Linked DNA regions of Saccharomyces cerevisiae S288C. The protein of the gene in region 2 binds, or shares a complex with, the protein of the main gene of each other region. Each region holds a gene or a part of one and is shown on either strand. Other genes may lie near its edges. A codon is read from its position in the direction of its gene.

The links.
Region 1: NPR2 (region 2) and RTC1 share a complex: the UniProt entries of both Saccharomyces cerevisiae proteins name them as parts of the SEA complex.
Region 3: NPR2 (region 2) and SEH1 share a complex: the UniProt entries of both Saccharomyces cerevisiae proteins name them as parts of the SEA complex.
Region 4: the proteins of NPR2 (region 2) and IML1 are in contact, whole or in part, in a cryo-EM structure (PDB 8AE6), measured with the Saccharomyces cerevisiae proteins. Residues at the interface, in NP_010852.4 of Saccharomyces cerevisiae: Pro106 (codon at 2,087), Arg110 (codon at 2,099), Met114 (codon at 2,111), Val117 (codon at 2,120), Leu118 (codon at 2,123), Glu120 (codon at 2,129), Gln121 (codon at 2,132), Asn122 (codon at 2,135), Glu220 (codon at 2,429), Gly221 (codon at 2,432), Asn222 (codon at 2,435), Ala223 (codon at 2,438), Asp225 (codon at 2,444), Lys227 (codon at 2,450), Phe229 (codon at 2,456), Pro234 (codon at 2,471), Pro235 (codon at 2,474), Ser247 (codon at 2,510), Ser248 (codon at 2,513), Val249 (codon at 2,516), Asn250 (codon at 2,519), Lys253 (codon at 2,528), Ile254 (codon at 2,531), Ile255 (codon at 2,534), Asp256 (codon at 2,537), Val257 (codon at 2,540), Asn258 (codon at 2,543), Trp259 (codon at 2,546), Asp260 (codon at 2,549), Pro261 (codon at 2,552); in NP_012672.1 of Saccharomyces cerevisiae: Glu288 (codon at 5,097), Asn291 (codon at 5,088), Phe292 (codon at 5,085), Glu293 (codon at 5,082), Glu294 (codon at 5,079), Thr295 (codon at 5,076), Gly296 (codon at 5,073), Glu297 (codon at 5,070), Gln298 (codon at 5,067), Phe300 (codon at 5,061), Gln301 (codon at 5,058), Asn305 (codon at 5,046), Pro309 (codon at 5,034), Phe339 (codon at 4,944), Lys340 (codon at 4,941), Pro344 (codon at 4,929), Trp367 (codon at 4,860), Val368 (codon at 4,857), Met371 (codon at 4,848), Glu372 (codon at 4,845), Arg375 (codon at 4,836), Glu376 (codon at 4,833), Met379 (codon at 4,824), Pro403 (codon at 4,752), Ile405 (codon at 4,746), Lys406 (codon at 4,743), Leu445 (codon at 4,626), Pro476 (codon at 4,533), Leu477 (codon at 4,530), His478 (codon at 4,527).

Annotation. Positions count from the first base shown.
Region 1 is NC_001147.6:59,913-68,477, forward strand, and holds RTC1 (Rtc1p), read right to left. Parts: upstream 5,439-8,565; coding exon 1,413-5,438; downstream 1-1,412. Other genes in the region: ARG8 (acetylornithine transaminase), read left to right, coding at 1-118; CDC33 (translation initiation factor eIF4E), read right to left, coding at 471-1,112; BSC6 (Bsc6p), read left to right, coding at 5,709-7,202; PFK27 (6-phosphofructo-2-kinase), read right to left, coding at 7,649-8,565. UniProt on the Saccharomyces cerevisiae protein: Component of the SEA complex which coats the vacuolar membrane and is involved in intracellular trafficking, autophagy, response to nitrogen starvation, and amino acid biogenesis. May be involved in a process influencing telomere capping.
Region 2 is NC_001137.3:32,636-39,246, forward strand, and holds NPR2 (nitrogen permease regulating protein NPR2), read left to right. Parts: upstream 1-1,771; coding exon 1,772-3,619; downstream 3,620-6,611. Other genes in the region: arginine permease CAN1, read right to left, coding at 1-831; kinesin motor protein CIN8, read right to left, coding at 3,900-6,611. UniProt on the Saccharomyces cerevisiae protein: Component of the SEA complex which coats the vacuolar membrane and is involved in intracellular trafficking, autophagy, response to nitrogen starvation, and amino acid biogenesis. Mediates inactivation of the TORC1 complex in response to amino acid starvation.
Region 3 is NC_001139.9:310,195-315,891, reverse strand, and holds SEH1 (Seh1p), read right to left. Parts: upstream 2,659-5,697; coding exon 1,609-2,658; downstream 1-1,608. Other genes in the region: ribosome biogenesis GTPase LSG1, read right to left, coding at 1-1,261; YGK1 (5'-deoxynucleotidase), read right to left, coding at 3,052-3,699; 60S ribosomal protein uL15 RPL28, read right to left, coding at 3,965-4,365, 4,877-4,925. UniProt on the Saccharomyces cerevisiae protein: Functions as a component of the nuclear pore complex (NPC).
Region 4 is NC_001142.9:680,841-690,524, reverse strand, and holds IML1 (GTPase-activating protein IML1), read right to left. Parts: upstream 5,959-9,684; coding exon 1,204-5,958; downstream 1-1,203. Other genes in the region: HOM6 (homoserine dehydrogenase), read left to right, coding at 1-1,080; MET5 (sulfite reductase (NADPH) subunit beta), read left to right, coding at 7,240-9,684. UniProt on the Saccharomyces cerevisiae protein: Component of the SEA complex which coats the vacuolar membrane and is involved in intracellular trafficking, autophagy, response to nitrogen starvation, and amino acid biogenesis.

The DNA.
Region 1 (8,565 bases), on a different chromosome or scaffold from region 2:
GATCATTACCGCTGGTAAGAGTACCGTTAGATTTGTTCCCGCATTAACGATTGAAGACGAACTAATCGAAGAAGGGATGGATGCTTTTGAAAAGGCTATTGAAGCGGTTTACGCTTAAATATACTTTGTAAATTGTCATGTATAGATTGTTTTTTTTTTTTTCATCTTTATATTGTAGTATAAAAAATGCCATTCGGTCAGAGACACATAGGAACATCTTACGTGATATGTACATGTGGTGCGTCTTTCATACCTTGAATGATATAATTAATAAGAGTTGTCCTTTTAACGTCATCCTCTCTTTTTTTTTTTTTTTTTTTTTTTTCTCCTTCATTTTGACTTTTCCTTCTGTGTTAACATGATGAGTTTATACGTGCATCCTAACTAGTAGAATGTATATATATTATATTATGATTATATATATAATTTTGATTAAAATAACAATTATCTTAAGAAAAATTCAGACTATCTTACAAGGTGATTGATGGTTGAGGGTGTCTACCATTGGCACTGGAATGTGGAAAGAATTCCAAATGCCCGTCATCGGTTAATTTTAAAACTTGCTTGAATTTACCACCAATTCTCAATAGTGGTTCTTTGTCTTCAGATTTAGTCCATAAGGCAAACTTGTTACCACCTTTTCTAATGCTTAAAACGACACCGTTAATTTGGGAGTCGTCTTCATCAATTGTTTCACCAATAACTGCTAGTAAAGTTCTTAGCCATAATTCATCAATATCAGCACCTTTTCCTCTAAGTTGGAAAGACCATTTACCACCTTTAGCATTGGCTTCATCTTCCCATTCAGGTCTAACGTCATTACGGAAGACGTGGTAATCTGATTTCAATGGTAGTTCGTGTGGCTCAGGAATATTTTGAATGATAGCCCAAAATTCTTCAACAGTTTGGAATGAAGTGACGGGACGTAATAGATCAGACCACGACTCAGATTTATCGACGGCTGGCTTTGTGTACCATAAAGTCCATTTGGTGTTCAATGGGTGCTTGACATCGAAGTGAGCACTGTCACTTAAAACAGTCTTTGGAGTAGCTGTGGTATCATCGACTGAAACGTTTTCTTCAAACTTCTTGCTAACTTCTTCAACGGACATTTTTCTTCCTTTCACTAGTTTTCAGACAAAAATGCTTTTATTTTTCGTAAAACTCCTAGGAAGTACTCAAGCACTAACACAAACACATATGTACAATATAAATCCAGAATTAACACTACCTCTTGCAATGTAAAACTCTCTTTATCAGGTATTGCATTAAACTCTATTGACGACGAAAAAAATTTTCTTTTCGGAGAGGGTAATAAAATTTTACCCGACCTTTTTGACGGGTAATATTACTCTAAACGATTTAACTAAACAATGGTGATGATATGTTAAACTATACATTATGTGGAGAACCTAGATGAATGCAACACCGGGGCAACCGCCGGGACATTCTTGTTCATTCTCATCGAGAAACCATTCTTGTATGCACTGGAAGTGACCTTCGTGTCCACAGGGGAGGATGACCATGGTCAGTTTCTTTAATGGTCTTTCACATAGAACACAAGATGTATTCTTCTTCTTACAAGAGTCACAATACCAGTATCCAAACTTGTCCATGATCTTCTTATTGCCCGTCTGCTGAGCTTCCGCTCTGAGCTTTTCTTTAGAACTTTCGTTAGTGATTAACTCACCACAGCGTTCGCAAAACAACCGAATGGAAGATTGGTCACCCTCAGAACCCATGATATCTTCGAATGGGCAGTATTTTAAGACGTCTGCAGCAATGCCGAAGAGTTCGTATCGATGTAATAATAACAAGAAGTGAGCGATTGCGTCCTTTGCAATGTCGATTTCTGTTATTTGGTATATCGTTTGGAAAAGAAATAAAATATTCACCGTCAATACGACGTTCCCAGTCTCAGTAGCTTGATTGTAGAGTTGTTTGATGAGTTTTTTCGTGTCCCAGGGTGGGTCAGCGATAATTTTCTTGCATTTGGCAAGCTTTTTCGTCAATGAAGAAGACAGTTGTTCCCTACCAATGCTATCTGGCCGTGATGGCGCATGTCTGGGCGATCCGATTATTGGTGCTGTATGGGAAGAAAGCTTTTTAAAAGTTTCTAGTTGCGAGGTTGTTGTGGCATAGCTTTGTAGCGACGAAACCTTACTGCGTGGGCTTACGCTGTTGTAAGTAAACCTAGGAGATATATTGTCATCTTCGTTACCTATGTCCGTATCTCCATTGTAACCGTTGGGAGAATGCAACATGAAAGTATCTATGAATGACTTGCGGTGCTCACGTTTCTGCAATATTGGTATACTTTTCGCGATAGGAGACGCGTGAAATTGTGCTGACTTAGTCGGTGAGTCATGAGGCTGTTCTTCTTCTTGATGTTCATGTTCGTCTTCCTCTATAATCACATCGTCACTCACTGTTTCTCCCATTTTAGTCCTTGACTCCAAGCGTTGGTTCTGTAGCTCTTTTAGCTTAGTTAAAACTTCATCTGAATCCTCATTTGGCTGCGCATAGGGGATTATTTCCGTGTTTTTGAGCTGCTCTTTGAGCTTAGAAACAGGTTTCTTTTCGGCATCACTTGGTTCATCAGAGTTAGCACGAAATGCCTGCGGCCTTTCTTCAACTAACGACTCAGCCCCACTTGTCCCTGCACCATCCTCCTCTGGGAACTCTTTTCCTGTTTTCAGATTTTCTCCAGCTTCGAAATCGGAGCTTTCATTGGCATCCATATTAGATGCGTTATCTGATGAAATTTGGGAGGAGGTCATCCACTTCAAGTCCCATAACAATGAATCTCTTATCAAGATCCAGATTTTGAAGTTGGTTAGATCATCTATGGATAGATAAACAGATGCGTTATGCGTTGCAATAGATATCAAATCTACCAGTGTTTGTATTTTTTCTTGCAGTTCTGCTTCCACGTTCTTGTCGATCTTCCTAGCTCTGTCATGACTTTGCCTACTTGCAGAAATGGAAGATATACTTGATCTGACATCCTTCTCGTCAAACTCCCTCGAACTACTGGAATTTCTTTTGGATTTTTTGTTATTTACTTTTTCATTCATTAAGGTAGCCCATGTATTATTTTCTGGAAAATTGTATTTTTTCAAAAGGTGACTTTCGATTATTTTGTCATCATCATCATCATCATCATCATCATCACCATCATCATTATTATTGGTAGTAGTAGTATTATCACCATGTGTTTCGGTTGCGTTTTTAACGACGTCAATGTTCTCTATATCATTTTTATATGCAGTGTCTGCACTGTCTGAAACATTATGCTCTCGAATATACGAAAACTTGAGCTGTCTCGCCAAATATTTGAACTTTTCTACTGGAGAATTTTTCATAGAAGAACTTTCGGAAATGACGTTCTTTTTTCTTGAATGTGCGATTTTGGTTAATCTTATGTTATTGAAGATCTGCGGTATATCCAAAGTGATGATACAAGGCGGTTCAATGGCGATTTCTTCTCTATTTTCAGTTTGTGGCGTCAGGGATGTCAATGATGCGGAAGAGCTGTTAAAAGAAGATGCTCCAGATGCTAATGTTAAGCTTTTTGTGCTAAACGTTGGGCCTGCTTTTAAAGTAGGCGGCCTCTCTGGCGTAAAACTTGTTAATCCAGTATGGCTAAATCCTTTTTTTATCCCTCCAATTATTCCCTGGTTCTCTGGATTGCCATTCTTCGGGTTTTTTATTGTACCTGGATGCTTCTTGCATGTGGTACTTGAGGTAGGTTGAAGCTCCGGTTCTACCACCTCATATGAGCCTATCTCTTGGTCAACTGAAAGTAAACCGTTACCATCCAAATCTCTCCAAGTTGTTGTATTTTTGCTCAAATTTTCGAGCACTGTTGGTTCTTTGTTAATGTCCCAGCCATTTATACGGGTCCCCTTATCGATATTAAAGATCAAGTTTTCGTCCCACCATACTAATCCTAAAGAAGGCGTTTCTGATAGGAGAACATGTTTTGGAATGTACTTTCTTGCCAAGGAATAGATGCGAACTTCAGCTTCGTCACCCATTGACGATATTCCTAGTAATGAATTATATATATTACTACTATAAGCAGGCTTGAACTTCAATTTAGTGACTGGATAGCCCGTATTAATTGTTAGTTTGGGAAATGCCAGCGAGCCGCTATTGTTCAAGGACGTATTGGGGGCATGTAACGAGGGAGAGTTCCCGTAATTGAGGACTGTATTTTCGGCGGCATTGGCATTGTCGCCAACAAACCAGAGGCAGCATTTACCGTCTCTACCACCTGTAGCAATGTATTCTTGATTGGGATGCCAATTTAAACAAAGACCGGGTCCTGTGTGAGCATTTAATTTTTTTTCGTATTGGGCAGGTTGTCGAAGATCAAACTTTAGCAAGTATCCCGAATCGTGAATAGAAGCAAATTTGTAACCGCTTTTTAAATTACCATACGTTGATGAACCTTGATCGTTCTTAGATGCAAAATTGTAACCGGGCATCCATTTTACATCTCTGATTGAGTCAGATGCGGTATTTATACTAATGTCAGATCTATTTGAGCTTTTAGATTTATTGGAACGTAAATCCCATATTTTTACACAACTATCTTGTCCACCACTTATTATTAGGTTTGATTCGACCATGTTGAAGTCAAAACTATTGATAGATCTAGTGTGTTCGCATAAGGATGTTATCAAGGGATTGTCTATCGAGGAACTCTTATTGAGATCATATATCGATATCGCCGTAGAATTGTTGCACACTGCAATACAGTTCTTGTAATTATTAAATCCAGTCTTAACATCCGCAATGGTACTAAATTTGTTCTGTCTTGTTCTTTTGCTCAGCTTGGGCAAAAGGGATGTCGTTCCCCTTGTTGAGGTGTTGCTATTAGGTGTTATGAAATCATGAACGCATTTGATAGATCTATCTGAGGGCGAGAATTTATAGAGCCCCAAATGAGTTTTACCTGCACAAACAAGACCGTTAATGTTTGGATCATTCACTTTGTCTATACTAGATAATTCTTTATCCACTTTGGTGGTGTAAATGAGTCCAGACGACTTTCTTGTATTTGTGTTGATTGCATTTTTCTTTGTTTTGATTTTCATGTTCGATTTATTGCTCATGCTTCCGGTTGTTTTTGCGTAAGGATTCTTATCATATGGCAAATAACTATCGTTGAATGAACTAGTTCTGTGACTTTCAGGCATATAAACCCCATTACTGTAAGAAAAAGTTGGAGTTAGATTAGGTCGCCGTATAGAATCTAACACGGAAGGTTGTCCACTATTTGAGTAATGATTCATTCGAAAAGAAGAATTGTTGCTTGACGAAGATCCAAGAAACTCGCCCTTGCCTATAGAACTAACGTTTCTGTTTTTTGGTATCGGGGTACTCCCCTTGGGAATGGAAGCATTTTCTACGTGTGGTGATAAGCTCATGATTTTCAACTAAATCCACTCAATAGCTCACTCGCCTTCAGCCAGCAATCGCACCATATGTATTATCAATCGGTTTTCCTTTTTCAGTAATCATCGTTATATATCGATGTTTTTGACAAATTAAAAAGAACGTTCCGAGACAGAAAAATTTAAACTCTCCGATCATGCATAGCTAGACATTCAACAGTATTCTAAAATGCTATAGTAAGAAACCAAGAATAAGATCCTAGGGATTCATAGTATAATTTAATCCATATATAAGTTTTCAGCATGGATGCTTCCTCGGTTCCACCAAAGGTAGATGATTATGGAATGTATACAACTGAAATTTCACATCATAACCCAATAGAGTTGAAAAATCTGCTATCATCATCAGACTCCAGAAGAAATTCTCAAGATGAAGATAGTCTACCTAACAATACAAACTTAATCAAAGAAATTGACTGGCAGGGCGAGAAAGTTAAAACATATCCACTAAACTATCAAACTGTACCACTAGTAAAGCTGCAGGTGATAGCATGCTTGATTATGTTCGTAGTCTTTGGTATGAACGATCAAACAGTAGGTGCACTACTTCCTACGCTAATTGAATACTATCATATATCGCGGGTAGATGTCTCAAACGTATTTATAGTCCAATTATGTGGTTATGTGATGGCGTCTTTATCAAAAGAGAGATTGAATAAGCACTTTGGTATGAGAGGTGGTATGCTTCTAGCAGCTGGTTTGTGTATAGTATTTCTTATCATTTTAGCAACTGCACCTTCTAGTTTCTATGTTTGTATGTTTTGTGGCCTTCCTCTTGGTTTAGGGATCGGCATCTTAGATTCTACCGGTAATGTTTTAATGGGCAGTCTTTTAGTCCATAAGAATGAACTCATGGGTATCATGCATGGTCTTTACGGGGCAGCAGCTATGGTTACTCCTCCCTTAGTTTCATATTTTGTTGAATGGGGTCATTGGTCTCTTTTTTTCCTTATTCCTCTGTTCTTTTCTATAATAGGCATGATTGTAATCTTCCCAGCTTTTAAATTTGAAACTGCAAGTAAATACGACTACCTCTGCTCTGTGGAAAACAAAGAAAGCAACAATGATGTGGAAGAAGCGGGTGATAACTCGCTGATGGAATCTACCAAGGCGAGCCCAGGATTTTTTGAACTTTTAAGAAATCCTGCTATTTTCTTGTACTCATTGTATTTGTTCCTTTACTTAGGTGCTGAAATTACAACTGGTTCATGGTTCTTTAGTTATTTATTGGAAACTAAATCAAGTAATAAGGTTGCTATGTCATACATAGCGGCATCGTTTTGGACAGGTTTGACTGTAGGCAGGTTGTGTCTAGGATTTGTTACTGAAAGATTCTTCGAAAACGAGTATAAAGCAAGCAAAGCGTACGCTTTTTTAACTCTATCTTCATACACCTTATTTGTGCTTGTTGGGTTGATCAATTCAAGCTCAGTTTTCTATTTCGTCGTGTTATTTTTTGTTGTTTTTTGTTGTGGTACGTTTATCGGACCATTATTCCCAAACGCAAGTATAGTTGCATTACAAGTATTGCCCAAAAGACTACATGTGAGCGGGGTTGGGGTTGCCGTCGCCGTTGGTGGTTGTGGTGGTGCAGCCATTCCATATTTGGCTGGAGTTATTGCACACACAGTGGGAATCCAGTATATCCCACTATTGTGTTGGATTATGGTTGCGTTATTTACATTGGAATGGACATTGTATCCTAAATTCATAAAAGGGCATGAAGAATATTTTTAGTTTCAGAAACGCCATCGGTGCCAGTGCATTGCAACTAATTCCAAAATTAGAAAAATAAAGCTGTTGAATAATTGTAACAGAAAGATAGAAAGGCGGAAGATAAAAGGAACTTCAGACAACATATGGAACTTTTTGATATATAGTATACATAATGACACTCTTGGTCGTTTACAAATAGATAGAATTTTAAGGAAAAAGTAATACTATCTGAAGTCTATAAAGAGCTTTTGAAAGCTGCTTCAGTAGTGCAAAAAAAGTGTATAGTAGCCTTTTCAAGATAACATAATGTAACTAGCGGTACCAAGGAAACTGTAAAAGAATAGAAAAACATGCGAAAAGGTCGTAAAAATGGTCATTAAAAGGCGGGAGGTAGATGGAGTTCTGGAGAGGATCATAAATATAATAAAGGAGTACCGATATTCAACTCCCGTATGGTAAAGTATCAGTCAAGCAAATCCGTTGCTTTCAATTAGGCTCTGCAAATCATCAAAAAATTTATCATTAACAACAGAGTCTAGTGTAGTTAAAGTTTCCTCTGAGCTATTTCCAAAACTTTCAAAAAACAATTTAACAGCTTCGATGTATTCAAAACCAAACATCTGAGAATAGTGATTGATGAAATTTTCAATAACCATAATGGTGTCCCTAATTTGCTTGCCGCAGGTTGAAGGGTAATGACTTTGATTTAAAGAATGTGGCTCAACGACGCCCGCATTAATAACATTGAAGAAAAATAAGCTCGTATCGATTTCTTCATGTTGGCTGATATATCGATGGATTTGATTGAACTCATCAAGGGAGAAAGGTGTAAACTGCGAATAGTAATGTTTTAATCTCTTTGCAAAATCTTTGATGGCAAGTTCATAAGGTTTGTCTAAGTAGTCTTCATTAAACGATTTATTGTGGATATTGTATTTGATAAAGCTTCTGTTAAAACATGACACCTGTAAGATTATGGGCACCAAATTGAAACTAGAAAGCTCATCTGTATTGAACGAACAAACCTCCTCAAATATAAATCTTCTTCTTTCGATGGTCGAATTTGTGGCGTCGAAGATTCCCACGTCACATTCATCGTTGTTGATTTCGTGAAACAACTTTTGCAAAGTGATCCTGGCATACGTTTCCTTTTTATCGTTATTTTTCGGATTAAATAAGTCTTCCGAAGATGTATTCGACAAAAGCAAAGGCTTTGAAATGGTAGCACAACTGATTTGCCTTCTTATCTTACCAGCATTAAAAACTTTACAGCGTAATGAATTAGTTAGCGGATTGTTCTTCAAACATTGAATTAAATGAGAAGAAATGGTAGACTTCCCAGTAGCTGGTAGCCCAATCAAAACAATCATAAACTTGTTAACTT
Region 2 (6,611 bases):
ATCCTTAGATATTATACCTGGACCCCAGGCACCTGGGTTTCTCCAATAACGGAATCCAACTGGGCCGGTAACCCCAGCACCACAAACCATACAAAAACAGTATATTAGAAACCCGATAATGGCTAAAACTTTGATGGAAGCGACCCAGAACTCGAATTCACCGTAATATTTGACAGGGAACAAGTTCATTATTGTGATAATTACCCAAAAAATACTAATCCATGCCGCCAGTGGAACTTTGTACGTCCAAAATTGAATGACTTGGCCAACTACACTAAGTTCCAGGGCAAAAGTGATTGCCCAAGAAAACCAATACATGTAACCATTGGCCGCACCAAATGCTGGAGAAAGGAATCTTTGTGAGAAAACTGTGAAAGAGGATGTAACAGGGATGAATGTAGCCATTTCACCCAAGGACTGCGTGACAGAATATGCCAAAGAACCCATAAATAAATATGATATAAGAGCGCCCACTGGGCCGGCGTTGGTCAGAGGTGTGGATAAACCAATGAAAAGACCTGTACCAATAGTACCACCAAGGGCAATCATACCAATATGTCTTTGCTTAAGCTCTCTCTTCACTTCAGCGTTCTGTACTTCTCCTTCATCTTCATCACCTATGCCATCCTCCATAGAGAACGTATCCTCGCCATTTACTCTCGTCGGGAAAGAGCGCAATGGATACAATTCTTTACTTTTCTCATCTTTCAATGGTATTGACCCACGTCTGTGGTGTGTTTGTGAAGCTTCAACGTCGTGAAAGAGGGTTGTGACCGGCTCATTGTACATATGCTTCTCCTCTATGTCGGCGTCTTCTTTTGAATTTGTCATTGCTATGCCTTTTTTTTTTTTTGTTTTTACAGGAGTTAAGAAGTCTGAAGAACTCTGAAATAAACTTTCGATTGACGACAGATTAAAAACTGGATCCAACTATAAGTATAATAGTAACTTATATATTTCTGTTCCAGATATATACGTAAAAAAAAGAAAAGGATAATTGATGTTTTTGCAAAAAGGGATTCCCTGATTCGGTTTACTCTGTTCGCAACCACTCTTCTTTCTGCTAATTTGTGCTTTATCTCGTATCATTCTCTTATCTACTTATCTTAACCTTATCGTCTTCCTCGAAATTTTCATTGATAGAGACAACTGCAAAAAAAGAAATTCAAAAAAGCCGTATGACTCACCCGGAAACCACACAGAAACCCTAGATTTCTATAGGGCAAATTTCAGGGTTATACTAAAAGATATATTATTGACCTTGGTTATTCTTCAAGTTCGCCCTATTGAAAATTCGGACACTTTAGGGTTTGGAATCTGTTAAAGATATAAGTAAATATGATGATAAAGAAATAGGTTTAATTTATACGCACTTGCCAGTAAGTGATTGATATTGCAGAAGTAACATGAATACGGTTCTGTGGCCTTTGCTGTTTGCCGTTATTTTATTTCTTTTTTTTGTTTTTTTTCTTTTTTTCAGCACTATCAAGGCTAATAAGGGACAAGAGTTCTTACTCAGTGTGAACGTGTTCTAAATAAGTTCTTGTTCTAATTAATTGTAACTATTTTTATGCATTTCTTGTAAGAGGAACTGGAGTAATCGTATCTCGGAAATACATAGAGGTGCGTATTCATAATGGGCCCTCTATCACTTGTTGCCTGTATCTCCGAATAGGACTGATAAGTGATAAAAAAAAAGAAAACTGGGTTAGCTTGAAGCGACTTTCTTTCTCTACTAAAGGGAATGGTCAGATCATCAGGCCAACGGCAAATGCTAAGCTATTTCCAAGGGTTTGTGCCCATACACACAATATTTTACTCCGTGTTCCATCCTACAGAAGGTTCTAAGATTAAATACGAGTTTCCGCCAAATAATTTGAAAAATCATGGTATTAATTTCAACACATTTAAAAACTACATCATACCGAAGCCTATATTATGCCACAAGTTGATCACTTTTAAGTATGGTACATATAGGATTGTATGTTATCCTGTGACAATCAATTCTCCAATATATGCTAGGAATTTTTTTAGTTTTAATTTTGTATTTGTATTCCCATATGATTGTGAGACGTCTCCCTACGAACCAGCTATTACTAGGCTGGGCAAAATGTTCAAAGTTCTTGAAGAACAAAATCAATTGCTATCCAAATCGGAAAGAGATCCAGTTTTCTTCGATTTGAAGGTGTTGGAAAACTCCACAACAACACCCTCCACTGCAGGTCCTTCATCCACGCCAAATCCTAGTAGTAACACCACACCAACTCATCCTACATCCGAAAAGGATACAAAGGATATGAGAAGCAGCAGATACAGTGACCTTATCAAGGATTTGGGCCTTCCGCAATCCGCATTTTCCATACAAGATTTATTGATGAGAATTTTCCAAGACCTGAATAACTATTCCGAATGCCTCATACCAATTGATGAGGGAAATGCAGTAGACATAAAGATTTTTCCGCTGTTGAGACCACCGACAACTTGTGTCTCATTAGAAGATGTGCCCCTGTCGTCTGTAAATTTGAAGAAGATTATTGATGTCAACTGGGATCCAACCATGATGAGTATAGTCCCTTACATTGATGGCTTAAACAGCATTGCCAAAATTTCTAAACTAAGCAACAGTGATCCTGGCCTAGTGATAGAGTGCATACGTCACTTAATATACTATAAGTGTGTTACATTATCAGATATTTTCCAATTTTCTAACATATACGCTCCTTCTTCATTAATTAGGAATTTTTTGACTGATCCACTAATGGCTAGTGACTGTCAATCTTATGTTACGTTCCCAGAAGTGTCTAAAATATCGAACTTGCCCTTAAACAAAAGTCTGGGTTCAGGTGACCAAGACTCACCATCATTTTCTGTACGAAGAAAATCCAAATCATCTAGCATACCGTCAAACCCGGATTCTAGAACTACATCTTTTAGTTCTACCAGTAGAGTTTCTCAAAACTCCTCCTTAAATTCCTCTTTTTCATCAATTTATAAAGACTGGAGGCAATCACAAACCTCCTGCTCGAGTTCAAATATTCATGTCATCAACAATCGTAACCGATTCCTACCAACAAGATCATGCCTATTTGACCTTTATAGGTCACTTTCACAAGGTCAAACGCTGAAAACATGGTATGAGTCGAAATATATGATTTTAAAAGAAAATAACATTGATATAAGAAGGTTCATAACGTTTGGCCTGGAAAAACGTATCATTTACAGGTGCTACTCTTTTCCTGTAATGATAAATGCAGGTTCACGTGAACCAAAAGAAATGACACCAATAATAACAAAAGATTTAGTGAATAATGATAAGTTACTTGAAAAAAGAAATCACAATCATTTGCTTTCAGCCACAGGGTCTAGAAATACGGCACAATCCGGCAACTTGAAACCAGAAAGACCATCAAAGGTTTCATTTGAAATGCAAAGGGTAAGTTCGTTGGCAACAGGCAAAAGTACTATGCCGAAACTCAGCGACGAAGAAGAAGGTATTCTTGAAGAGTCTATTAGGAATGCCGAAACATTTGATAAAATTTGCGTTTTACTGAGCAAGCCTAAATTAGAAGTCGAAAGCTACCTAAACGAATTAGGAGAATTTAAGGTAATTAATAGCTGAGTTAAAATTAGAGAAATTCATTGTCCATCAAAATGTTTTTTTTTTTTTTTAATATTACAACTTATTTCCGTAAATAAAGATAGTACACACGAATCCAAACGTTTATATAGTTAGCTCTGTGAAAATTTGATTTAGGTTCATCTCTTGGTGTGTTTGGTAGAGGTGGTTTCACACCCTTCTCTTCTGTCTTGCCTTCTAATGAATAACTGAGTATTCTTTACATACTTTGTTTTTATTAACCACTAGTTTGAATATATATTCGACTGAAAGGCAATATCAACTATTCAATCTTTAACATTTTTCTCGAGCCCTCATTGTCCACATTTTCACTGGATTTGTTTTCATCTTCAATTGCATGCTTTTTGGGCGATATTACACTTTGCACTGAATTGCTATTTATGTTTGATAACCTTAACGGCATTTTCTTACTTAGATTTGGTATTTCCTTCAATATGTTCTCGATCATTTCGTCTTTGGTAGCGTTTTCCTTGTTACCATAGTTTTTCATTATGTTTTCAATCGTATTATAGATATCATCCACATTAGTTATATGAGAGTGTGTTGATGTTATCGAATTTTTAATGTTATCTTTCAACATGTTATGCTTGTTAATAAGCTGCTCAAATTGATCATTAAATTTGGTATTGTTCTTCAAAAGGGATATAGCGTTCTCCGATTCTTCCACTTGTCCTTTCATGACTGAAATAGACTCATTCATCGAATTTGATGATGTATCAACAGTACTCTTGATTTGCGATAGCGTCGCTGCCATGCTATTATAGAATTCGTTATTCATGGAGTCACAATCATTTATCAGATCAAATGAATTTTCCCATTTAACGCGCTTGGGTTCAAACAGATCCATTTCTTGATCAATAACCGCGCTGGTTGCAGTTGTCAGATTCTGCATTATTAGTTTTTTATTTTCGTCAAGGTGGTCATTTAGGACCTTTTTAAAGTTCTCAACAAACTCGTTTGTTCTCTTCTCAATATTTTCATAAGTAGAATCCACATGACGATTCAGTAATTCTTGATGGTTATTCTTGAAAAAATGGTTTTTTAAGTACTGTTTCATGTTGTTATTTTCTTCGCTAATATCAGAAAGATTCTCGGCTATATTTTTATAAAATTTTTGGAAATCTACTCTTATTATGTCGATTTTCTCAATAACAACATTGAAGAATTTAGGAGATTCGTTTAAAATTTTCTTCACACAGTCTTTGTACATTAGTTCAGCTTTTTCTTGCATGGTTCTCATAAGAGTCAGTACTTCATTTTTGATCATATCAAGATTTGGTTGGATATTAGTCTCTTGAAGAATACTTTCCTGTTGCATAGTGTTTAATTGTAAAAACAGTGTAGATTTCAATTTTTTAATTTCTTTAGTAATATGCATTTCAAACTTTTGATTAAGGTCAAGTTCTCTTTTTTTGTAATCATGTAGGGCCATTTGCATTACCTCAGTCAACTTCTGTAGTTTGTTATTAAAATCGGATATTTCAATTTCAGTTTTATGCTGTTTATCTAGTTGTGCCCTTAAATGATCTATGGTAGTTTTCAATGATTCTATTTGGCAATTTTGAGATTGAATAGTTTCTTTTGACTTCAATTTATCTTTTACTAGCAATGCATTTTTCGATGTCAAACTTTCAATTTCTCTTTTACATTCTTGAACTTCATTTTTATAACTTTCTAAATCACTGTTCAAATTTTTGTAGTGATCTTGGCTCATATATATTCCTTCTTTGGACTTTGTAGAGAGTAAATCGGATTTAATCTTTGCTAATTCCATAGTTATATTTTTAACCAAAATATCCTTCATTATAAATGAACCCAGTTGCGGCTTGTTCTTAATGTTTTTAGCCTTCGAAGCATACTCTAATGTACTGCAGGTTTCTTCAGAAGTTACCTTTGCAGGCGATATAGTAGCAATTAGTGCGGTTTTCGTATTACCACCCAGGGAATCTTGAAGCAGGCGGGTCAATTTCGATTCACGGAAAGGTATATGGCCGCTTTTATCTACGAGTGCGTTTATGACCCTGCCCAGCGTCAATAGACTTTGGTTGATTGAACCAGCTTCTTTGGCACGTTGATTTAATGCTCCGGATCTGTTGATGTTTTCTGAACCAGCTAAATCCACAAGATTCATTTTGGAAATTCTAAATAGTTCATCCTGATGCTTCTTATACAAAGTGATTGTAAAAATGGTATGAGATCTACTGGAAAAATCGTTCATTTTAGTGGACGCTACTTGCCTATGCTTTAAGCCTTTTTGTAATAGGTTTAGCCCCTCCATAGCATTTGTTATGTGAAATTCTTGCAAATTCTGGATGTATATACCATTAGTTTGGTCATTTGGAGCCATCGAACTTCTTTGACCGTTATTTGTGTTGGTGTTACTAGAAGCATTATTAGTGGTAGAGCCAGAGTTAGAGGAAGAGTTGTTCCTGGAATTCACTGCCTGTTGTTGTTGATACTGTTGCTTGATGGTATTCGGCAGTGATTTTGTCCTTAACCTTTTTCTTAATAGAGCAGCTTTAGGTGTTAGATCATTTAATGACCTCGGAGAACTGTTCCTAGAATTACTCCTGGAACTACTAGCACTGTTGCTAGTGGTATTATTTGCTGTGCTTGAATCAAAAATCCTCAATTTTTTCATAAATTGGCCGTCAAAGCCAGTATTACTAGAGCCGTTGCTATTGCTGTCCAAGAGGTCCTTCAATTCTTCGTTGTAGAGTTCAATGAACGAACATTTTACTACGTAATCGTTCTGTTGTAGTTCCAATGTGTCAAACAACTTCAAAAGAACCCTCGGTATAATTCCTGCTGCATCGCTCAATTCACCATTATATAACTTTTCGTCGCCCGTCATTGTATATGTTTTACCTGTTGACGTCATACCATATACCAGTACGGTGCAATTGTAACCTTTAATGAAATCCTGGAATAATGGGCCCGCCACTTCATCAAAAATTAGATCCTGGGAAGCGCC
Region 3 (5,697 bases), on a different chromosome or scaffold from region 2:
CTGGACCAATATAATCACGTAATTGATCAATAGGTAAAACACCATTACACACGAGCTCACCCTTGTTATATGCAAAGTTTGGGAAGACAAGACCGGGACAGTCACAAAGCATGACAGAATCAGATAACTTAATAGTTTGGAAGTGTTTTGTTTTACCAGGCGTGGATGAAACAGAAACTTTCTTGGCACCCACGAGCGAATTAATAGTGGAGGATTTACCTACATTTGGATAACCAACCAAACCAATATTAATCAGTGGAGGTTGACCGGGCAGAGGTGGCAATAAAGGCTCGTTTGGAGCTTTTGATAAAAACAATTCTTCCAGTTGGTCAATGGACAGAATTTTAACTTTTTCCATAACTTTTTCATCAGCATCGAACCCTTCTTTATCAGCTTCCTCGAAATCTTGTTCTCTATAATCTTCCCCCATTTCCTTTTGTTTCTCCAATAATTGATTAGCTCTCAATGCAGAGTAAAACGTGAACGAAATATTCTTGGAGATAAAGTACTTTGCCCAAGCGATACGTTGCTTTTTGGTCAATAAATCTGCTTTATTAACTAGCAGTAAGTTTGCTTTTCTGTCATCTGACTCTTTTACATATCTTTCTAAATCGACAGATCTAAACAGCAACGGATTCCTCGCATCTACAATTTGAACAACTAAATCTGATCTTTCAACAACTCTCCATAACTGTTTCCAAACTTCGATATTTCTTTCAAACGGTGTTAACAACAAGTCTTCATTGCTTTCTTGTAAATGTGCCAATTTTCTTCTCCATTCTAAAAACGCTTCCTTTTCTTGCCTATCAAGCTGAAACTTGGACATGCCCTCGTTCCATTCAGGCCTCCTTGGAACAATCAAATCCTTAGCAAGCGCTCTTTGCTTCGCATTAAGATTTCCACGCTGCTCATTAGTCATAGAAAACCCTTGAGATGTCGCAGAATCATTACCGCTATCCATTCTAATAATTTTAACATTTGAATGTCTATCGGCCGTGAAATCTTTGTCTGCCAGTGCAGCTGTACTCAAGAATTCATCTAAAGCTGATTCTTGAGTTACAGATCTTAATTTAACCCAGTTGGCCTCATGCTTATCGGTAGTGAACCTCATTTCACCATCAGGTAAATACTCGATGGCATTTTCTTTTTGACGTGCATATTTAATAGCTCTGCCTAATTCAAGCTTATTTTTATTTTTACGGTGGGTAGGTTTTGGCCCTTTTGGCGCCTTCCATTTCTTGGGAGCTTCTTTTGGTGGCATAGTTGGTGGGGGTCCTCAATATCAGATTTAGTTTTGTGTTTAAAAGAAGTTGGCTTATAAGCTCATCACCTCTTTATTAAGTAGTAGAATGCATTTTCATTGACAAATTTTTTAATCTCGGCATTGAAAAATTTCCAGGCGAAAAGGCGAGGGAAGGGAAGCTTGATATAATTCGAAAGAATACCCAATATCAAGAATAATAATATCATTTGATGTAATATCATTATATTTGTAAGAGCTTTTTAAAAGCATCATCTTTCTTGATTCATCTGTTGCCTCGTATTATACAGAATAATGCACACGTATAAAGTACCAATATATAATGTTATGTATACATATATTCTTATTTATTGTTGGGCAGTAATTACTGACATACACTTAAATTCATTTGAATAAGTGGCTTTCCATAAACGTACCTTCCCATCATCCCCAGCACTGCTTAAGATTGTACCCGTTAAATTCCAAGACACGGACCAAACTTCGCCATTATGGTCATCATGCTCGCTTAGAAGTTCAACTTGCAAGTTTGATTGTAGCTCAGCTTTCTCTTCGGTATTTGAGTCTGATCTGCCCTGTGCATCCATGTCAACATCAGCACTATTATCAAACATATTTGAGTTAGTTAAAGACTCCTCTGAGGCCAGGGGACTTAGTTTTTCTGTGATTTTGAAAATTCTAATTCTACCATCTTTGCAACCTGTTGCAATGAGTTGATACCATCTACCAATGGAAGGAGCCCAGCTGATACTTCTTATTAAACTTTTATGACCGGGAAGTTTTGCTGCAACGTGAAGTTTACCGTCTTTACCCCTTTGGTATATAATCGCTTGTTCCAATGCAGAGACTGCGAGCTTTTCAGGAGAAAATCTCGAAGGACACCAAGAGAGACAAAAATCAGACTGTAAATGATTTGCTGGTGGTATAGATAGCACTTTCATCTCAGAAGTCAGTGTCCATGACCTTAGGTCAGAAGGTTCTAAGGCATCATAAAGTCTGAGGATTCCATCGTTACCCAAACAAGCTAATTTTAAGCCCAAATGCGCTGGCGCAAATTTTACACTATAAAGTGATCCTTTGGAATCATTCAGGGTACACAGCTTGTTCCAACGACGGCCAGAGCATTCTTCTTGGTCGGGATCTTCTTCCCATAATTTTACCGTCTTATCGTAAGAGGCTGAAGCAATGATGCGCCCATATTCTGGACTGGCCCAATCAATGGCCACGATACTACTGTCGTGAGCTCTCCATGAGTCACTGAGTTCCCAATTACTCGTGTCCTTGTCTAATTTAAAAACTTTAATATGTTGATCAGAAGAGCATGTTGCCACATGTCTTCCGTAAAAGTCATAAACGACATCATGAACTAAATCATCATGCCCACTATCAAATGGTTGCATATTCAGAAATATTATTGGGTCGTTCTTCTTCTTCCTTAGTATCTCTTCAGAAGGGAAACCTTGTTTATAATTTGGTTTACTTGTCTCTATTCAGTTCATGATTTTTTCCATCGTTTTGCCGAAGACTTAACTAACAATAAATAAGAGAAACAGATATATTAAAACTTGGTTGATAATGCAGCACGCACATTCAATCGCGAATAATATACAAAAGATTATTTCTAAAGTTACATATAATGCACACCGGGTGCTGGAAGTATAATACATGCAAAATAAAATGGGCACTATCTCGTTGAAAAGCATCAAGATGTTATTATAAATGATACGCACCACCAGGTGAAGGTTTGAGAAAAGAAAAAAAAGCACTAACTTTTCTTTCAAAAGGCCACATTATTACTCCTTCAAACTGTCGAAAAAGGCTTGTCGATCTTCCAGTAAAGATTGTGTCCATTTTTTAACTTCATCAGTTTTTATATCATTGATGGCTCCCAAAAATTGTTTCAAATCCTTCTTGCCATTATACTTTTGTTCGTACTCAAAACATTGAACCAACATTTCATACTTATCAATATCTTTGACATATCTTCCTTCCAAACAGGTCTGCTTTTCGTATGCTAACCAGTCATCAAGAATTTCCCTAGATGCGCTTTCACTGCAGGGCCTTATTATGCTTTCACAGAGATACTTGACAGTTTCAAATTCTCTGCGATGTTTCTCTTCCTTTGTCATTGGGTCATTAGGTGTAATATCACCAACTAATGACTCCGCAAAATCGTGAACAAGTGCGATTCTGATACATTTGTTACGATCAACATTCTTGTCCGTAATCAGCATGGTAGTTAAACCCATTCTGTACATATGGTCAGATATACTTTCGCATGGGTCAATACCATGGTCAACCCAACCAGTTCTTCTTTGCGTTTTCAAAAGTTGTATAATATTCAAAAACGCTAACTGATAATTTGGGTGAGGTTTCGAAAGAATTGCCAAAATCTCCCTAGGTATATTATCTTCTGGCTTCCAGATGTTAACTGCAGTCATTTTGTTTTTCCTGGTCTTTACCTCGAATAGGTTTTCTTGTTTTGTTATTTGTTTTCTTTTTGGACCCTATGTTTATATATGGATTTTGAAAATCTTTTAAAAAAGCGATAAAAGCGTTGGGATCTGCCACTGGTAACTTCAAAATAGACAAGACGAAAAAACGGTGAAAATGGGTGATAGAAATAATACAGAAGTAGATGTTGAATTAGATTAAACTGAAGATATATAATTTATTGGAAAATACATAGAGTTTTTGTTGATGCGCTTAAGCGATCAATTCAACAACACCACCAGCAGCTCTGATTTTTTCTTCAGCCAACTTGGAGACGAATCTAGCTTTGACGATAACTGGAACATTTGGAATTCTACCCTTACCCAAGATCTTACCGTAACCGGCTGCCAAAGTGTCAATAACTGGAGCAGTTTCCTTAGAAGCAGATTTCAAGTATTGGTCTCTCTTGTCTTCTGGGATCAATGTCCACAATTTGTCCAAGTTCAAGACTGGCTTCCAGAAATGAGCTTGTTGCTTGTGGAAGTATCTCATACCAACCTTACCGAAATAACCTGGATGGTATTTATCCATGTTAATTCTGTGGTGATGTTGACCACCGGCCATACCTCTACCACCGGGGTGCTTTCTGTGCTTACCGATACGACCTTTACCGGCTGTACAAAAAAAATATTGTAATGAAATACAATTTTTAAATCGTTAGTAAAACAGGTTTTCAACTGGACATTTTATCGAAACAAAAGAAACGTGGTAACTCTTTTTCATAATTGCGCTCTCTACAACCATTTGATACAGCGATAATTAGTGCTTTCCATAATCTAAATGAAAGTTACCTTTTATAGCCGTAAAATGAGTAGACAGTATGACTGTTCTGAATATCATGGTATAATAAAGGAGAAGTATGACAAAGGCTATGCACACTTTCTTTTTGCTCAGTTTGCGATGGAAGAGTACATTTACTCGAGCTATTACCTCAAATAAGCCGTCTCAACAGTGAGATGGTAATACAAAGTTCGCAATCAAAACACAAAGAAATATGTTGAGTACACTTAGCTGATTGACATTCTCCTGTACCATGATATACACACGACATATTGGTTGCACAACACTAAAAAAAAAGTCACCGTCTTGGTTCTTTCATTCCCTCTTCCAAATGGAACTACATACCTGAGACGTGACCTCTGTGCTTTCTAGTCTTAGTGAATCTGGAAGGCATTCTTGATTAGTTGGATGATTGTTCTGGGATTTAATGCAAAAAAATCACTAAGAAGGAAAAAAATCAACGGAGAAAGCAAACGCCATCTTAAATATACGGGATACAGATGAAAGGTTTGAACCTATCTGGGAAAATACGCATTAAACAAGCGAAAAACTGCGAGGAAAATTGTTTGCGTCTCTGCGGGCTATTCACGCGCCAGAGGAAAAATAGGAAAAATAACAGGCATTAGAAAAATAATTTTGATTTTGGTAATGTGTGGGTCCCTGGTGTACAGATGTTACATTGGTTACAGTACTCTTGTTTTTGCTGTGTTTTTCGAAAGGGTTTCCTGGGAACTAGTGCTATAATGTCAACATCAAGTATCGTAGATTTCAATTCAACTTAGCTCTTATTACAGTTTATATATAATACGCATTTCATAAGGTTCATTCCACCTCGTCTCTTGTAATCATTACAATGCTGTTGATCAACTATATTTAACAATATTATAGCTTGTTTCTTTATAACATTAGCTTACGCTCATAGGCGGCAGTAAACGATGATTAACCATGAAACGTAAGGTAACGGTGGCATAATTTGGTATTTGTTTTCTTTTTTTCATTTTTTGAACTATTACTTGGTTTTTTCGAGAGCAAACTACCTCATACTTATTTCTTGTGTGTTAATATTATATTGGCGGCAAAGTGAAAGGGGTGATCATTCTGTTATGAAAAAAATAAAGAACTTAAGAGGAACGGTGAAGAAAGAAAACGGATAAAATGAGAAGAGT
Region 4 (9,684 bases), on a different chromosome or scaffold from region 2:
ATGAGCACTAAAGTTGTTAATGTTGCCGTTATCGGTGCCGGTGTTGTTGGTTCAGCTTTCTTGGATCAATTGTTAGCCATGAAGTCTACCATTACTTACAATCTAGTTCTTTTGGCTGAAGCTGAGCGTTCTTTAATCTCCAAGGACTTTTCTCCATTAAATGTTGGTTCTGATTGGAAGGCTGCTTTAGCAGCCTCCACTACTAAAACGTTGCCTTTGGATGATTTAATTGCTCATTTGAAGACTTCACCTAAGCCAGTCATTTTGGTTGATAACACTTCCAGCGCTTACATTGCTGGTTTTTACACTAAGTTTGTCGAAAATGGTATTTCCATTGCTACTCCAAACAAGAAGGCCTTTTCCTCTGATTTGGCTACCTGGAAGGCTCTTTTCTCAAATAAGCCAACTAACGGTTTTGTCTATCATGAAGCTACCGTCGGTGCTGGTTTGCCTATCATCAGTTTCTTAAGAGAAATTATTCAAACCGGTGACGAAGTTGAAAAAATTGAAGGTATCTTCTCTGGTACTCTATCTTATATTTTCAACGAGTTCTCCACTAGTCAAGCTAACGACGTCAAATTCTCTGATGTTGTCAAAGTTGCTAAAAAATTGGGTTATACTGAACCAGATCCAAGAGATGATTTGAATGGGTTGGATGTTGCTAGAAAGGTTACCATTGTTGGTAGGATATCTGGTGTGGAAGTTGAATCTCCAACTTCCTTCCCTGTCCAGTCTTTGATTCCAAAACCATTGGAATCTGTCAAGTCTGCTGATGAATTCTTGGAAAAATTATCTGATTACGATAAAGATTTGACTCAATTGAAGAAGGAAGCTGCCACTGAAAATAAGGTATTGAGATTCATTGGTAAAGTCGATGTTGCCACCAAATCTGTGTCTGTAGGAATTGAAAAGTACGATTACTCACACCCATTCGCATCATTGAAGGGATCAGATAACGTTATTTCCATCAAGACTAAGCGTTACACCAATCCTGTTGTCATTCAAGGTGCCGGTGCCGGTGCTGCCGTTACTGCCGCTGGTGTTTTGGGTGATGTTATCAAGATTGCTCAAAGACTTTAGATCAGTAAACAGACATATAAAAACATAGGTATATTTATATATAAATAGATAACATTATGCTTTACTATCCACGTTCGAATATTATTTACTTTGTGAAGAAACTCATCCATGTCATGGGGCTACTCAATCTTCTACAATCTTTCCTGTAATCCACATTTCCTTTGCGTCAAGGAAAATTGACCTTAACTTCTGATAGTCCAAGCAAGTTGATTTGAAATTTAGGATCACTTTTTGAGCATCTAATGAAGAGCTTGAAGCAGAATGAATTTTCCCGATTATGTTTCCCGGATTCACTCTGGATATATAAATGTTGTTAGGAGCTAAAAATAGGCAGCCATTTTCCCTCAATTCCGCGACGTAAGCACCCGTATGATGAATATATTGAACATATTTGAACTGTGGTTTGCCCCATGAATACATGATGTCAAACTCTATATCTTGATTTTGTAAAAATTTGGATGCCCTATTGTCTAATAAAAACCCAGATGCCTTTAAAAGATAAACGTGGTAGTAGAATTTGCTTTTAGCGAAAAGCTCCCTATCCTTGAACTCAGGATCTTCCCAAGGATTGATAGCTAACTTAATTTCCACAAAAGAGTGAAATGGATTGACCGAAGGGATAGTACAAAGTTCTTCCCAAGGAATTTCAATCATTTTCAAACCGTACCTTTCGCATAACCTTGACCAGTTCCCAACCAAATCATCGATCAATTTTGGGGTGGTAGTCAACCATTCCAATCTTATGTGAAAACAGTGGTCGGGGTTATGAACTCTGTCATAATGGACTGTACACGATTCTTGTTTCGAGGATTTTCCCGCGGGATCAACATCGATAACAAGAGAGTTACTCAGCATTAAAATAGGGCGTGATGGCTCTTTGGCGTCAGCAACTGAAGCATTCGAAGCGCTTATAGCAGGTACTACTGAAGAAAAAGGAGTCATAGCGCTTGGATCGTTTGAGCTACCAGTGGATGCTTTTCTCAACATCTGCTTTGGATCGGATAATGTAGAGCGATGGGAGTTTGTTTTTTCTAGTTTATTAGTGTCCATTACGTATTCAGGTGAGAACTGGTAAAAGTAGTGCCCGTCCAAAAAATTGTGCTTATTTAAAACGTGAACAAATAATCCCTCTTTCATCACCTTCTGCCCATATTTAATTGCATCTTCTCGAGTATCTATATCAGAGAAGTTTCTTATGAGCCAATTAACCATCTCCGAGCCAACAAAACACTTTTCATGCTTTTTCCAGTGCCATTTTCTGTTGACTAAAGTAATGCGATCTTCGCCACGTTGAATTTGATACGCCAACTTGGATAGTTCTACATTTCTGTTTAAAAGGTTATTATCATTAACAAAAATTGAATCTTTAAAATTTATAGCCGAGCTTTCTAAAGATGTTTGTTGCTCATTAATGAAGTTGTAAAGCGGGCCGGTGTAAAACATAACTTCAGGCTGTATTTCTTCTCTCTTAGTTTTTCTTCCTTTTTTTTCTTTCTCTGTTCTTAGTCTTGACCTCGTTATTGAGCCAATTAATCTTCTCAAACCCTCGACTCTGATTTCTTCTGGGTTTAAAGTTTCGCTTTTACCATTGATAACCATAGAATATGTGTTGGGAGGGATATCTGTTGGTAACACCACATATTTAGCTCGAAATCCGTGCCATTTCCTATCTATTAAGTTATCGCCATAACCTGCTAGAACCTGATCAATTTGATTCCAGTTCAAAGATTCTCTTTTAACATGAAGTGGGTCAATCATAGCATCACGAAATGAGCTCTCGTATCTCGTTTTAACCAACGGAATATAACTAGGAACCTGATCAAACAAGTTTGCTTCATCTTTTCTCAAATACCTCTCCACATCAATAATTCCACTTGACGAGCATGTTATTCTGTGTATTTCAGAGTCGATCATTAGATAAAGTTTGAACGCATCATTTTGATTGAAATCTAAATACTTGTTGACTACAGTTTCACTTTCACCACTTTCCCTAGAAAGTTCTATTTTTTCTACTTGTCGGCCCACGCAGATTTGAAAACCAGTTAACAGTCGCATATAAATCATATCACGAAGTAAGTCTTTGTATGTCTGATTATATTGTTCTTGATCTGTGTTTAAAGTCACTGAGTGATTTCTGAAGATGAAGTTCCTATCAAAATCATCCTTGGATGGAAAATCAGAAATTGTGATTGGTAACTCTGCTGGGGTTGTAAAAGACCTCCATTTACTATATTTTCTGGCCACATATTTTGGCCATACATCTTTCCAACGTATAGGCAATAATTCGTTGGCAAATTCACTACTTACCGGAATGGAAGGACTTTTAATATCCACCCAAGTTTCACTTATACGATGTTTCAATTGCTGTGTGAGGCTATAAGTGTTCGAGTCATCATGTTTTGATTTTTGCCCTTCTGTAATGAAAGCAGCCTTGTCTGACATATTAGAAAGTTTAGAGGATGTTCTGGTATGTGATGAGCCTAAATATGAGGAGGGTGAACCACTCATGATTTCATTACTAGGTAGCCCAAAAATGGATAGGTTTTTCTTTATTATCAAATTTCCACGTTTACTGATAACGTTTTCATCTGCCAGGCCTTTTTGTTGTAATTTCAGGCCACTTATTTTACTTTCAGAAGATGGTAGTGGTGTATTTGAACCTAAAGGTGAGTTATCCACATCATCTCTGAGTAATGTTGACTTTATTTTTTTATTTTTACTTGTGTCTATGTTCGAAATAAATTTTGTAATTACTCTTTGAGTAAAATCTTTCAATGAGTTCCTTTTGCTTAGTCCTTTGAGCGAATCCAGCGCCAAAGATGTGTTTTGGTTATCAGCAGATCTCACAGAGACCAATGAGTCATTCATTTCGAGATTGTCATTGTTAGAAGTGGTGGGAGTGCTAATTTTATCATTTGTAGTATTACAATCATCATAAAAAGAGGCCTCTATTGTTTTTATTGATAGATCTGGTATTACGTTTGGTTTTTGAATATCCTTAATGGCTGGGAGAGCAACTTTTGGACCTCTCCATATGAATTTTGTGTTACCGTGTGTTGTTGTTGCTGTTGCCGGGATTTTCCTTGCCTTCACAACAACATCATTCTCGAAGACGGTATCAAACTTTGAATTTAATTTCTTAGATTGTTTCGTATTAGAGCCAGCGCATAAAATTTTCACCTCGAAGGCATTTTTGTCGTAATCATTCATAAACTCGGATAGTGATTTGACTTTCTTGTTCAGCTGTAAATATTCAACATCCACTTCCCGAATTAACTCATTTTCAGTAATCCCCATCATTTGTAAGTCATAAATTTTACATCTTGGAGTCCATTCTGAGTTACTCTTTTTGTCATGATCATTCCAAAAGAAAACACTTAACCAAAGCGGTACACAATGATGAAGCTTGTTCTCAAAGTCTCGGTACCTAAAAAGTGGAACTATGTGCAATGGAGCTTTTGAAAGACATATTAAATCCATCGTCATTTCAAGAGAGAGTAGTTTTTTTCCTGTTAGCCTTAATAAACTATAATCAACGTCAAATAATCCAGACCCTGGTGAAATAATCATGACGTGCGTTGTAGTGTGTCGAAGATCTAATTGCTTGAAAGGATCCGTTAAAATTGTCGTGGCAAAATTGACCAATTCGAGAAAATTCGACTTGATTACAGGTGAAAATCTTCCATTCGCTACACTGTAACCCTTATCCGTTTGCTTGTTTAATAAATCTTTTCTGATTTCCATAAATTCTTCTCTTAATGTTTCCATAATATCAACCCAATGGATAATACTGACTTGATCTACAACTATCCTAAAATAATCCTGTGAATTTTTCAAAGATTCGCCGGGTGTTAAGTCCTTGAATGATGTATCAGACAAGTCCATTGATATAGCGAAGGCTATAGTGATAGTATGGTGGGTGTCCACATCTTTCCATTTTTTGAAGATCTTCGGGAAAAATGAATTAACCATCTTTTGAAATAATTGTTCACCAGTTTCTTCGAAGTTCCACATTTCATCAGTTATTTGAATCAAAAAAATTAATCTGGCAGATTCGGACCGAAAAATTATCCTTGTTTGTTCGCCAATATATCCAGAAACAATCTTCTTACCATTTCGATAAATTCCCTTAATAGTACCTCTGATAGAGTCTAAGAATGCCAGTCTTTGATCCATAAACACACATGTATCTACCAGCTTAGATGATAGAACCCACATATCACCTCTATTTAGTAGGCAATCTTTGATATTAAACTCTACCACATCTGCCTGTAAGTCAAATTTGTTTGGTTTCAATTTTATCCATATCCTAGACCTAGAAGGCAAATCTAACAAAGTTTGCAGTTGACCCGAAAGTATTGAAACATTAGATGTTTTTGCCCTTCTTTTAGTCTCTCCGTCAAAATCTTTTGCAATAAAATAAATTTTCTTATCTCCGTTCGATGCAGATGGATTTTTGTGATATGTTTTCAATTCTACCAAATCACCAGGTTTTATATCCGGGAACTCAACTAGATTTAGCATCACTAAATTCTCGGAAAATCGGGACTCATGATAGCCTAATTCAGCTTGATACGCCTTTATTTTCAGTCCTGGAATATGATGGCGATGGACCCGTTCCCCATTGTCATAATTGTTGTCACCACCATTGTTGACGTTATCGTCATTTTCCTTATTTGAAATCAGCTTTCTGCCGGAAGCCCTTTGTTGAGAACCAAACTGCTCTTTCTTTTGTCTTAAATTTCTATTGGAACCTACTATCAAATTACCCGATGATAAGGATATGCTATTTGCGTGAGTAGTATTGCTAGTCCTTGGAGTTTGTGAATTGATGGAAGAAATTGGTCTTTGTTTCTTCCCATGCAATTTAGCGAACATCCTTAAAAAGTGTCCCTTGTCAGTGCTGAGTTATTTCCCTGCTTAAAAAGTAGTTACAGAAACAATTCGTTGTTCTGTCACTTACTATCTTTTAAACAATAATGATTAACATAGATAGTGATTCAAATAGTCACGTGATCTCTTTTAGAGAAAGGACTTAATCCGTACACAATGATTTAATTTTTCATTACCTTATAATGTGATAGTCATAATAGCAATGAAGGATTAGTAATTACCAATATAAGAGCTCTAGCACATTAGCTATGAATTTGTCAGCCGCACCAAACTAACATAAAGGTCTTACTATGTTAAAAGTTCTTGTCCTTGAATAGAAATAAATGAATGAATCTAGTACCCTTCCCCATTCACCTAAGTTGGCTAGCCATATTTTCGGAAAAAGAGTGGGAGGAACAAGATGCTAGATAAACAAATATTCATGTTATTAAGCTTAGAATTTTGGCTCTGTTTTGTTTATTTCCAGATTTCTATTTTCTGCTATTCATCCAAAATATATTTTCTCACAAAAGCTGTTAATTTGAAACTAATGTTAAACAAAACATCTCACTTCAAATTGAAGCCAAATTAGAACCTAAGTAACCAACACACGCACAACTTTCATCCCTTATCCCACTTCTTTGAAAACTTTTAGAAGCCATTGATGGTATTGTACATTTACCTATCTTAGCAGATTCCTTATTAGCCGCCGAAATGGGTAATAAGTATTATAATCACTAAATACGAAAAATTTATTCATACCAACCCGCAACATGAACTACAAACCTTTGGGTATATAATGACAAAGACGTATCAAACCAACACATAAGGCTATTTTCAGGCAACTAATATGCTGTTTTATCTGCGGAATTTCACCAACTGACTTTTACTAAGCACTCAATAAAGATGCAGGTAAAATACGTGGATTTATGAATCCGGGTAATATAATTTGTCCACGTGATATTTCACAGAATGAATTTCATCACGTGCGTATTATCTCTTAACTCATAATGCCACAATTACCACCACACAGAGGCAGGAATGGTTTAACTGCTAAGAGACACTGGAAAATTTGAGTCATGGAGATGCGACGAATTACTGGCCGCTGCAAGCAGTTATATAAAGTGTTGGAAGACGATAGTTTTTAATGTGAAATAAAATTGGGATATAGAAAGGTTCCTTTGCTTGTTATTTTTTTTCCATCGTCTTGATATTTATTCAGATCCCTTATATACTAATAAAGTAACAGTAGGGAACGGGAACCAGAGAAAAACAAAAGATTGGCGAATGACTGCTTCTGACCTCTTGACGCTCCCACAATTGTTGGCGCAATATTCCTCTAGTGCTCCCCAAAATAAAGTGTTCTACACTACTAGCACAAAAAATAGTCATTCATCCTTCAAAGGGCTAGAATCTGTTGCCACAGATGCTACTCATCTATTGAACAATCAAGATCCATTGAATACCATCAAAGATCAACTCTCTAAGGACATTTTAACTACCGTTTTTACAGATGAAACTACTTTGGTCAAATCCATCCACCATCTATATTCTCTTCCTAATAAACTTCCATTGGTGATTACAGTGGATTTGAATTTGCAAGATTATTCCGCAATTCCTGCGTTAAAGGATCTTTCTTTCCCCATCTTAATATCTTCTGATTTGCAAACTGCAATTTCAAACGCGGACTCTTCTTATAAGATTGCTACAAGTTCTCTGACCCCAGTTTTCCATTTTCTTAACTTGGAGAAAATTGGCACGAGTACAGCTATTGAACAAGACATCGACTTTCCTACCTTGGAGATTGCTAACGAAGAGACTAAAGTAGCATTATCAGAAGCTACTGATTCATTGACAAATTTTGAACTGGTTAAAGGTAAAGAGTCAATTACCACTGTCATTGTTAACCTGTCACCATATGACGCGGAATTCAGTAGCGTATTGCCTTCAAACGTAGGATTGATCAAGATTAGAGTATACAGACCATGGAATTTTTCCAAGTTCTTGGAAATACTGCCATCTTCTGTTACCAAAATCGCCGTTTTACAGGGTGTCTCTAAGAAATCGCAATCAAACGAATTTCAACCATTTCTTTTGGACTTCTTTGGCAATTTTAATGAATTAGTTTCTAGGAACATCGAGCAGGTAGTGTTGACTAATATTGGTAATGTGAATGATTATGGCAACGTTATCAACACCGTCATATCGAATATTAACAAGAAGGAACCAGATAATAACTTATTTTTAGGTGAATCCAATGAAAAGGCTGAGGAACAAGCTGAAGTTACTCAACTTATTTCTTCTGTCAAAAAAGTTGTGAACTTAGAAGACGCCTATATCAAAGTGCTAAAACAGTTATTTTCATCAAATCTACAAATTTTGAATCAATTTTCCAGTGAGACAATTGAACCAAGTAATCCAGAATTTGGTTTTGGACGCTTTTTAAAACAAGAAGCCCAGCGTGAAGAATTGATCAGCTTAGCAAAAACCTCTCTTGATCCAAGTCTTTACTTGTCCGAGGATGCAAATAAAATTGTTCAACTATTATCTAAATGGTTGTCATTCAATGGACGCGATCTTGACGAAGCTCAATTACAAGAGGCCAATGCGACAGGTTTGGAAATATTTCAGTTATTACAATCTAATCAAGATTCCTCTACTGTCTTAAAATTCTTAAAGATAGCTCCAACAAGCGATTCTTTTATTTTCAAATCAAGCTGGCTAATTGGCTCCGATGCCTGGTCTTATGATTTGGGTCACTCAGGTATTCAACAGGTTTTATCCTCCCGTAAAAACATTAATGTTTTATTGATTGATTCAGAGCCATATGACCATAGAAAGCAAAACCAGGATAGAAAGAAAGATGTTGGTTTGTACGCCATGAATTATTACAGTGCCTATGTTGCCTCTGTAGCAGTATATGCTTCTTACACCCAACTATTGACTGCAATAATAGAGGCATCTAAATACAATGGTCCTTCTATTGTCTTGGCTTATTTGCCGTATAATTCCGAAAATGATACTCCATTAGAAGTCTTAAAGGAAACCAAAAACGCCGTTGAATCTGGTTACTGGCCATTGTATAGGTTTAATCCTGTTTATGACGATCCATCAACAGATAAGGAGGCATTTAGCTTGGATTCTTCGGTTATCAGAAAACAATTACAGGACTTCTTAGACCGTGAGAATAAGCTTACCCTATTAACCAGAAAAGATCCATCTTTGTCAAGAAATCTAAAGCAATCTGCTGGTGATGCGTTGACAAGGAAACAAGAAAAAAGAAGCAAGGCTGCCTTCGATCAGTTATTGGAGGGTTTGTCCGGCCCACCGCTACACGTCTATTATGCTTCTGACGGTGGTAATGCTGCAAACTTGGCAAAGAGACTAGCAGCAAGGGCATCTGCAAGAGGTTTAAAGGCTACTGTTCTGTCCATGGATGACATTATTTTGGAAGAATTACCTGGTGAAGAGAATGTAGTTTTCATTACTTCCACGGCTGGGCAAGGTGAATTCCCCCAAGACGGTAAGTCTTTCTGGGAAGCTCTGAAAAATGACACCGACTTGGATTTAGCTAGTTTGAATGTTGCTGTTTTTGGTCTCGGTGATTCTGAGTATTGGCCACGTAAAGAAGATAAACATTATTTTAACAAGCCTTCACAGGATTTATTTAAGCGCTTGGAATTATTGAGTGCCAAAGCCCTAATTCCCTTGGGACTGGGTGATGATCAAGAT